2 linked regions of the Drosophila melanogaster genome follow. Changing the gene in region 1 together with any one later gene gives a genetic interaction. Each region holds a gene or a part of one and is shown in the gene's direction. Other genes may lie near its edges. The genes, in order: CtsB and cathD.

The links.
Region 2: of CtsB (region 1) and cathD, changing one enhances a phenotype caused by changing the other (phenotypic enhancement), as found in Drosophila melanogaster (one study listed by BioGRID).

What each region holds. Positions count from the first base shown.
Region 1 is NC_004354.4:13,779,346-13,783,989, reverse strand, and holds CtsB (cathepsin B), read left to right. Parts: upstream 1-1,819; 5' UTR 1,820-2,060; coding exon 2,061-2,180; intron 2,181-2,256; coding exon 2,257-2,517; intron 2,518-2,663; coding exon 2,664-2,831; intron 2,832-3,339; coding exon 3,340-3,813; 3' UTR 3,814-4,143; downstream 4,144-4,644. Other genes in the region: amrt (amaretto), read right to left, coding at 817-1,491.
Region 2 is NT_033778.4:7,820,191-7,825,637, reverse strand, and holds the start of cathD (cathepsin D), read left to right. Parts: upstream 1-2,068; 5' UTR 2,069-2,171; coding exon 2,172-3,089; intron 3,090-3,152; coding exon 3,153-3,413; 3' UTR 3,414-3,527; intron 3,528-5,447. Other genes in the region: phr (photorepair), read right to left, coding at 1-38, 93-134; CG30383 (uncharacterized protein), read left to right, coding at 515-946, 1,180-1,512.

The sequences.
Region 1 (4,644 bases):
GATTTAAGTACTGTTATAACTTTTGCCTGTCATCACTAGTTTGCTTTTTTTGTCTTGTTTATTTTTGTGTATTTTGCATAAATTCCCGGCTAACAATTATATATTTTCGTTTGTTTTATTTATGCACCGCGCAGTGCTTATTGTTGTTGCCGTTTCTTGCGGGAGAGATGCGACGCGCACGCAGCGTCGTCAATGGAGAAAAATAAAAGAGAAAGCGCCCGCTCAGCTCAGCCAGTCTCCGTTGACCGCGCGGTTGGCGAGCTTTCTTGCAACTGACTTTCGAGTTTGAACGCGAAACTTTCGATTTCCATTTCCCGATGGCGAAGGACGATAGCCATCATACGATAACGATAGCCCAATGGAAAGCAGCTGTCGGAAATGCAATGGATCCACTGAACAAATTTTGGAACAGCTGTGGCGCTACATTCGAATTGAACAAAATATACTTTAAAATTAAAAATAAAAACGATTGTGCAAAGTCAAAACGTCCCTTTTGATGCTATGCGGGCATTTTTGCACGGATCAAAGCTGTAGTTTTGGTGTAAGCTAAAAAAACAATTGGTTTAAGAGGCAGTCATTTGATTGTCTTAGGCATATAAAAACTATTTAACTGTACTTCTAAATATTTATTTATCCTTACTTTACATCTAATAGATATGTATGAAATTATTAATTTCAATGATTTTATAACAAAGGTATTTATAATGAAATAAGGGGCAAGTTAATTTAATTTCCTAACACTACGAATTAATCAGTGAACAAGATTAATCTTATTTAACTACTTAAAGCTATGACACAGAGGCATATCACACACGTCTAGACATAGGGATTCCAATTGCTGCCGTCCTCGGGCAGCAAATTGTTGGTGATCAGGAGGATGACGTCGATGATCCACCAAACGCCCACGCCGCCCATGGTAAGCAGTTTGCCCACAGCCGTGCCCGTTTGACCGAGACAGAAGCGATCCATACCGAGGAAACCCAGCAGCATGCTGTAGATCAGTGTGGTCACAAAGTAGTGATCCGTGTAGCGGACACAGGGCACTCCGGCGCGCAGAAAGGTGCGATTACCGTAGCACTCGATGTCGGCAAACACGGTGCACCAGACCATGGCGTGCTCCACCTCTTCGTACGTGGAACCACCGAACTTCAGGCATCCGTATTTCTTTTCCTGCTGCGCCGTGGCGTTCTCCCGATGATCGACGGGATCCTTGCAATCGAGAAAGTCGCGCGGCAGAAACGAGCACATCACATTCGGTCCCAGTGGATAGAAGGCCGAGTTTCCAGCTCCGCCCGAGGCGGAAGATGCCGAAGATGACGATGAGGAGGGTCCCATGCCGGAGCCCAGTTGCGCCTGAACGGGCACCACCGATTGCACCGCCGTGCCGGAGACCACAGTCTGCGGCTGCTCCTTGTCGCTGCGTGCCTGTATCGCTTGGGCATCGTGTTGTCTGGCCACCAGGAACGCCAGTAGTCCGTAGAAAATCCGCATCTTTGCGAGCTCCTTATCAAAATATAGCTAGCCAGTGTGGCCACACCTTAGCACAGCTAACAGAGCTCTGTTATCTGCGATGGCCTACCGATAGTTCTGATTTTAAGCACCACGACAACGAATGGAAATAAATAAATGCAAATAAACCACCTTTCAAGTAACAGTGCTCCTTAGCATATTTATTGGCATTAGTGTGATCGTAGTCTTTAGTTAAGTACATTTAGTGAAGTGCTATTTAGTATAATGCGTTTATTTATTTCAGACTAGTTACCAATCACGCGCCCATCTCTACATTCGATAGGCAACGGCCCTGTTGCATTGGTGTGCACACACTGGCCGCGTAATCAGCGGGCGCGAACCATTTTTTTTTTTTTTTGTGCGACAGAACAAAAACAAGAGAATAATAGACGCTTAAAGAGCATTACCCGTCCGAATTTCACGGGCAGTACGAAAACAAGAACGGAGCAGAGAGCCCGCTTAATACGACGCGTCATTTTCCACCATTTTACTGCTGTGATTTGTTTGAATTTTGCTGTGTCAGCGCATTGGAAATTCGTTGGACAAGAATAATGAATCTATTGCTCCTGGTGGCCACCGCGGCCTCCGTGGCGGCACTCACGTCCGGTGAGCCGTCACTGCTCTCGGATGAGTTCATCGAGGTGGTGCGCAGTAAGGCCAAAACCTGGACGGTAAATTCCTTTGTTTCCAACCCTTTTCTTGCTGACGTGACAAGAAAATTGCATTTTCCCGTTTCCTATCCGCCAGGTGGGTCGCAATTTCGATGCATCCGTAACGGAGGGACATATTCGCCGCCTGATGGGCGTCCATCCGGATGCGCACAAGTTCGCACTGCCCGACAAGCGTGAAGTTCTTGGCGATCTATACGTGAATAGCGTTGACGAACTTCCCGAAGAGTTCGATTCCCGCAAGCAATGGCCAAACTGCCCAACCATTGGCGAGATTCGCGACCAGGGTTCATGCGGCTCCTGCTGGGCCTTTGGTGCCGTGGAAGCCATGTCCGATCGCGTACGTAGCTTACCTTATCGATATTATAACCCCTTCCATTCTTTGTTTGTCCAGCTGATAAATTTCCCCATTTTTTTTTATTATTATTTTCTTTTTGTATTTGTTATCAATGATTTTTTTTTTTTTACTGATTTCGCAATGGGCAGGTGTGCATCCATTCCGGCGGCAAGGTGAATTTCCACTTTTCGGCCGATGATCTCGTCTCCTGCTGCCACACCTGCGGATTTGGCTGCAATGGCGGTTTCCCCGGCGCCGCCTGGAGCTACTGGACGCGCAAGGGAATCGTCAGCGGAGGACCCTACGGATCTAATCAGGTTGGTGATCTTCTCCTGCTTTAATGGGATTTTGCAAATCATATTTAGTTTGGTTTAAAAGGGCTTGCAATTTGGTTTTGCTTGCAGATGAGTTTCCAATAAAAAAAAGGGTTTGTTTTCTAACGAAGAAAAACATACTTTATGTGCAAAAATAACCTGTATTTGTACATATTGTATTTCTACGCCGAAATAGTTAGAAAGCAACTTGATTTTGTTCTTTGTTTACTTGAAGTGAACTGAAGACTCAGTTTACGACGCCATAAAAAATTGTATACCACAGATATCGCTAGAAAGCGGCTTAGTATATCATATACAAACATCCATATACACAAAGCTATATGTATATATATCATATACGAACATCTATAGATATACATGCATATATTGTGAATGCACTCCAGATTCGCGTACATCCTCAACGATAAGTTTTAGCTGCTACTAACTCATTTCCCAGATATAGTAAGGCAAACAGAAGAAAAAACGATTCTAATATGCACTTATTTTGCAGGGCTGCCGTCCTTACGAGATTTCTCCCTGTGAGCACCATGTGAATGGAACCCGACCACCATGTGCCCATGGCGGTAGAACGCCCAAGTGTTCGCACGTCTGCCAGAGCGGTTACACCGTCGATTATGCCAAGGACAAGCACTTCGGCTCCAAGTCGTACTCGGTGAGGCGTAATGTGCGTGAAATTCAGGAGGAGATCATGACCAATGGACCGGTTGAGGGCGCCTTCACCGTTTATGAGGATCTCATTCTGTACAAGGACGGTGTCTATCAGCACGAGCATGGCAAGGAGCTGGGCGGTCATGCCATTCGCATTTTGGGCTGGGGCGTTTGGGGCGAGGAGAAGATTCCGTACTGGCTAATTGGTAACTCGTGGAACACCGATTGGGGCGATCATGGTTTCTTCCGCATCCTGCGTGGCCAGGATCATTGCGGCATCGAGAGCTCCATTTCGGCGGGTCTGCCCAAGCTGTAAATGTTATATGTATTCCGGCATCAAGCTGATATATCAAAACCCCTCTATTTTCTATCATCCCTCCTTTTATTTTCATTCCGATTCGCAACTGACGTTTGTAGTTAATGTAAACAACCTAAACCTGATTGATAATAAAGTATTGTATATGACTGTGGAACTGTACTTTGCTCGTATACAGTGGGACCTCTCTAACTAGAAACAAGGCAAACAAAAAAAAGAAAATGATTATCAAACTGGAACTCAGATATAATTAAAAGCGAATAATACTATTTGTGAAACAATGCTATAACTATCCAACTATAAACTATTGTTTAGCGTAGCTATGCCTTTTTTATTTAATAGTAGAGATTAATAGTAGAGAGTATCTGATCCTCTATACTATGTACACACATTTAAATGGAACGCCGTCAATCGTTCAATCGTTAAACTGGCTAGCTGTATGTTTTGCGAGTTATAAATGTGATTAGCATCGCATTTGATTAATCAAACAAAGAGTACAGCTTGCAATCGCATTCGTCATTTGGTGCGATTTTGTTGAGTTAATTTATTATTACATTAGTTAGCTTGGCCATACATACATACATACATACATATATGTACATACATATGTAAAACTTATCTCGTTGAAGCTGCCCACAATTTGCAGCACCAAATGTCCATTCAAATTGTACACATATTTATTCACATAACATGTTTTATTTATTTTTCTCATTTGCAACATCAAATAGAACATTTGTTTTGTATTTTCAGTTTTTTTTTTGTTATCTTGTCATGAACCAACCGCTTCTCTTATCGATTTTCTGTGAATTGATTGACTGGTTTTGTAGCCAC
Region 2 (5,447 bases), on another chromosome or scaffold:
TGCGCCTTCGTACGCTTCATCGCCTGCAGCGGAAGAACCTGAACATGAATGAAAAATCGTGATTTGATTTTTACTAATTCGATTTAACCCACAATCTTGAATGATTCGCGCCAATATGAAGCAAGTGTAAACATAACTGTATAACGATATGGCGACTCTATCAGCTGTTCAATGAGAGTGAAAATTATGCTAGTAGCCGCACTCCAAATACACTTCCCTTGGAAGAGAAATTATTATGAATTAACATAAATAAAGAATTAAGTATTATGTTTAAATTTATATTAGTAGATTTTTTTTTGGCATAATATTTTAAGGAAAGTTGTGGCTTTCGGTTTTGAAATACATTTAACTCCAGATGTTCCTATTTCCTAAACATTCCCTAAGATTTCAATAGTCTCAGTGCCGCATACGATACACAGCAGTTATCGATTACAAAAAGAGTGCAGATCTGAAAGCGCACGTTGAAATTAAACCGATTCTTTACTGTTTTATAATAAAATGTTTTATATTGGGAATGAAAATGGACGAAACTGTGGACGAAGCGGAATTTAATGCCAATATCGGCCGTATTGCTCGATCTACGCTTTTGCACGATGCTGAACAATCGATCCACAGGGAGTTGATCGACTACGCTGTTGCGTCGTGCCGTCTGTTTTACATCCAGGATGCTTCAGCCTGGAAGGAGTGGAACACCAGGAACGAGGCTTTCAGGGATCTCACTGCCAAGGAAGTGTGCCATTTATTCCTAACCGAAGTTCTGCCCCAACTGGACACCTATCAGCTTTCGGAGATGGCCCAAAAACGCCTTAAGCTTCTGGATCTGCATCCATTCTTCAGGCGCGTTGCCCAAGGCTACCAGTACACTCCGGATTGTGACCTTGCAGCTCGATTTGTAGTCCAGCGCCAGAAACATTTTATCCAACCTGAAGATATCAAGAAGATTAAGGTAAGCATATCTGTCGGCGAATAATTTTGATGCCAATTTACTATGTACATGCATAAATATGAATGTATTTACTTAAAATTGCTTTCGTTAATAAACAATAAGTACCCTTTTTTTAATTTAATTTAATCTATCCTTATGCAGTTATCCGGGCACTTACACATCACATTATAATCTTATATCTCTTACTCTCTTAATCCAATAGTATGATATTAATTTTTGCTCGATTTTTATAGAAAGGCGATTCCCTGAAAAGATGCCAAACCGTGCTCATGGAAAGCGATGAAATGGAGCAGAAAACCTGCGTTGGGTATCGAAGCAAAGTCTCCATGGAGTCCGCCGTTCTGTTCTCGGTACTGTTGTCCACCAACCATGAGCTTTCTATTGGAAAGATGCTCGATATGAGTGAGATTCACGAAAGAATGCGGCGCGCCAAACAGTCATTCGAGGATACTGCTAGAGTTACTCCGTTCCGAACGAACATTGATGACCTAATCTCCGATTTGGATGTCTGTGCTAAGGTCAAATCCAAACTTTGTCGAGTAATAAGTGATTGTAAAAAGTACTAGAAAGGATTAGCTATATCTTTTATCTATATTTAATACTTTTATTTCATTTTAATCAATAGTATAAAATTATTTCTCTGGATTTTAGGTGACTATAAGAAGACTATTTTTGTAATATTTTTGAACCATTTAAGCTCAAAATACAACTTACTATTCATATTTTAATATATAATTCCATGTTATCATGAATTTATTAGAATTTATATATACAAGTAAAGATTCGAAATTCAGCTTCGACCCGCTCCTTACGATTGTTATCTATATTATCAATTAATACATTAAGGTTGCTCATCATAATTGTTAATTGTTTGCTCATAAAAGCGTTTAAAAATGAAAGATGGGAAATACTTTTTTAGCTTTCCCTTATTGTCTCTAAAGTAAGATCGTAGTCATGATACAAGCTCTTCCTAAATGTGTAGAAATAATGATACATTTGTATTATATATACATAAACGCGAAATATTAAAAAGAAACATTCCGAAAATTAAAGAATTGCATTAGTTTACAACAAAAACTATCGAATCTCTCTAATCAAAACGACGCGCCAAGCCAAATTTAGTACATTATCTGTGCTGAATCATTTTCGCTGTGCCGCAATATTTAATTAACTGCAGCGATCATTGCAGTTTTAGCCACCAGAGAAGCGTAACATAGAAATCAAAATGCAGAAGGTTGCACTGCTTCTAGTCGCCTTCCTGGCTGCGGCCGTGGCCCACCCAAATTCGCAGGAGAAGCCCGGATTGCTGCGCGTACCGCTCCACAAATTTCAGTCGGCCCGCCGGCACTTTGCGGATGTGGGCACGGAGCTGCAGCAATTGCGCATTAGGTACGGCGGAGGTGATGTGCCGGAACCGCTGTCCAACTATATGGACGCGCAGTACTATGGGCCCATTGCCATTGGCTCGCCACCGCAGAACTTCCGTGTGGTTTTCGACACCGGCTCCTCGAACTTGTGGGTGCCGTCCAAGAAGTGCCACCTGACCAACATCGCCTGTTTGATGCACAACAAGTACGATGCCTCCAAGTCGAAGACCTACACCAAGAACGGCACTGAGTTCGCCATCCAGTATGGCTCGGGCAGCTTGTCCGGATACCTGTCCACGGATACGGTGTCCATTGCCGGCCTGGACATCAAGGATCAGACATTCGCTGAGGCGCTCAGTGAGCCGGGCCTGGTCTTCGTAGCTGCCAAGTTCGACGGCATCCTAGGCCTGGGCTACAACTCCATCTCGGTGGACAAGGTGAAGCCGCCATTTTACGCCATGTACGAACAGGGTTTGATCTCCGCTCCGGTGTTCTCATTCTACCTGAATCGCGATCCCGCCTCGCCCGAGGGCGGTGAGATCATCTTTGGCGGCTCCGATCCCAACCACTACACTGGTGAATTCACCTACTTGCCCGTTACCCGCAAGGCCTACTGGCAAATCAAGATGGATGCCGCCTCCATTGGCGATTTGCAGCTGTGCAAGGGCGGTTGCCAGGTGATCGCTGACACCGGTACCTCACTAATTGCTGCGCCCTTGGAAGAGGCCACCTCTATTAACCAGAAGATTGGTGGAACTCCCATCATCGGTGGTCAGGTGAGTACCATGCTCTAAGTTCTCACATGAAGCACTGCTAATCCTCTTAATTTCTTACTTTAGTATGTGGTTTCTTGCGATCTCATTCCCCAATTGCCGGTAATCAAGTTTGTGCTGGGCGGAAAGACCTTCGAGCTCGAGGGCAAGGACTATATTCTCCGTGTGGCCCAGATGGGTAAGACCATCTGTCTGTCCGGCTTTATGGGCTTGGACATCCCCCCTCCAAACGGACCCTTGTGGATCCTCGGTGACGTTTTCATTGGCAAATACTACACCGAGTTTGACATGGGCAACGATCGTGTGGGCTTCGCCGATGCCAAATAATCGAACAAAGAAAAGTATACTTAAAATTTAAATTGTAAACATTATCGATCGATCCCATTGCGGGTTTCTCCGAAGAATAATATATAAATTATCATTTTAGTAGATTTTCCATATATTTATTAGCGTAAGTTTATTAATTACAATAGGGCTTGCGCGGTCTGCACTTAATGAGACGAATAGTAAGTACGTGGCGATGACCGACGCTTCTAATCTTCCAAAATCGACTAACTTAAGTATAGCAAGAGTTCTTATCTCTAAAGCTTAACAAGTTACAGTTTCTTATAGGTAAAGCTCGATCTATAGATGGGAAAAGCACTTGAGGCTTACGACTATATTTCGGGTGTTTTGTGATTGTGTTAACTCCTCCCCTTCTAAGACGAAGGCTGTCCACAGACTTTTTACAATTGGCAAATCTATTTGAAAGCGGATCTTACGGGTAACATTGGTTGTGCACTAAGTTCCCATACTGCCAACCTGGTACTGCGTTAAACCATCGAAGGGAAGGCAGCTCTGCGTGTCTGGATGATCCGAGAAGTTCGTAAATGCTGCTGATTCTCCATGTCATGGGTTCGCAACAAGGTTCTGGAGATGATCGTAGCGAACTTGGAAAAAATCTTTATTGTAACCGTCGACTTGTTGACGACGATGATGCTGATGTTGGTTGAACTAGTTGACCATCAAAACGTATGTGTTGAACGCACTCTGGTTGGCGTCTGATGGCAGATATTATTCAGTTCGTCGTTTCAGTACCCAGGCGCAGAAATAGTTGCCGCATCTTTACGTCTTTAGCAGATACTACGTTGATAGATCTTAATTCCCTCTTCTACTCTTCTCATCTACTTAAGAGGTAGTTACAGTTTTAATACTAAAGTTTTGACAATAATTAAGTATAACAATTATAATTTTATAATAAAGTTCATTCAGATATTTTTGATATTAAAGTATGTAGTAAAACGCTTATTGATTGCAAGTATTGATTTTCCTATTTAGTTGAACAGAATCAGGAAAGGGTATTGATAACATTAGTGTTTTATTTTTTTTTAATCGGGAATTTGAAATCTAATTAGAGTGAGTGCGCTATACTGTTATTATGCCGTTTTGGTAATGCATTTATTTTCTATGGTAGTTTCAGGAAATATTTGTGGTTGCGTGGACTTTAAGTTTTCAAATCATTCGGGTCTAGCATTTCATCACATACCTTTAAAATTTTCTAAAGAGGATGAAGCGGAAATAATACAAAATGTTTAAAGATTAAATAAGAAGGATTTGACAAATATTTAATTGAAAAATGTTTGCAAACTCTTTTACTAGTGTTCAGATTTCACGTTTGTATTTTGCTAACTTGGCGATGGTCACAAAAGGAAAAGAAATACTAAACCTAGCGTAGATTATCTTTATGAACGACCCTCCCTTTTATGAGGACCGTTGTCCCGAGGTCTGCTTCGATTAGTTCTTCCCTATACCGTGGGGTTAGTTTATTTCCCAAGCGATTGTTTTGTTTTACCATGACGGTTTCTCCCACCTCAAAGGTTCTGTCTCGTCTTGTTACATTTTCTCTTCTTAGCTGTTTTTCCTGAGCTTCGTTAACCATTTCTACTATCTCGTTAGCCAATTCGGGAGGAGTTGAATGAATAATGTCGATCGGTCTTCTATTGGTGACTGAGTGCACCGTCTTATTGTATTCTATTGTTGCCTGAAGAATAAGGTTGACTGTATCATTCATTCCACTGTCAAGTTTCAGGCATCGAGCTATTTCTAAAAGCGTGCTGTGAAACCTTTCAACCTGTCCGTTTGAGGTACTATGAAGTGGAGGTGCGTTCGCTATGTCAACATTAAAACGATTTTTCAAAAGTGACTTGATTGACTCGGAATTTATGGACGGTTCATTGTCACAAAATATTGTCTTTGAATGGGGAAAAAAGTTCATTAGTTGCATAATTGCAGGTTCTAAATCAGTTATCGTTCGAGAGCCGATTGGTTGCACAATAGCGAATTTGGAAAATTTGTCAATACATGTCAAAAAGTAATTCCTGT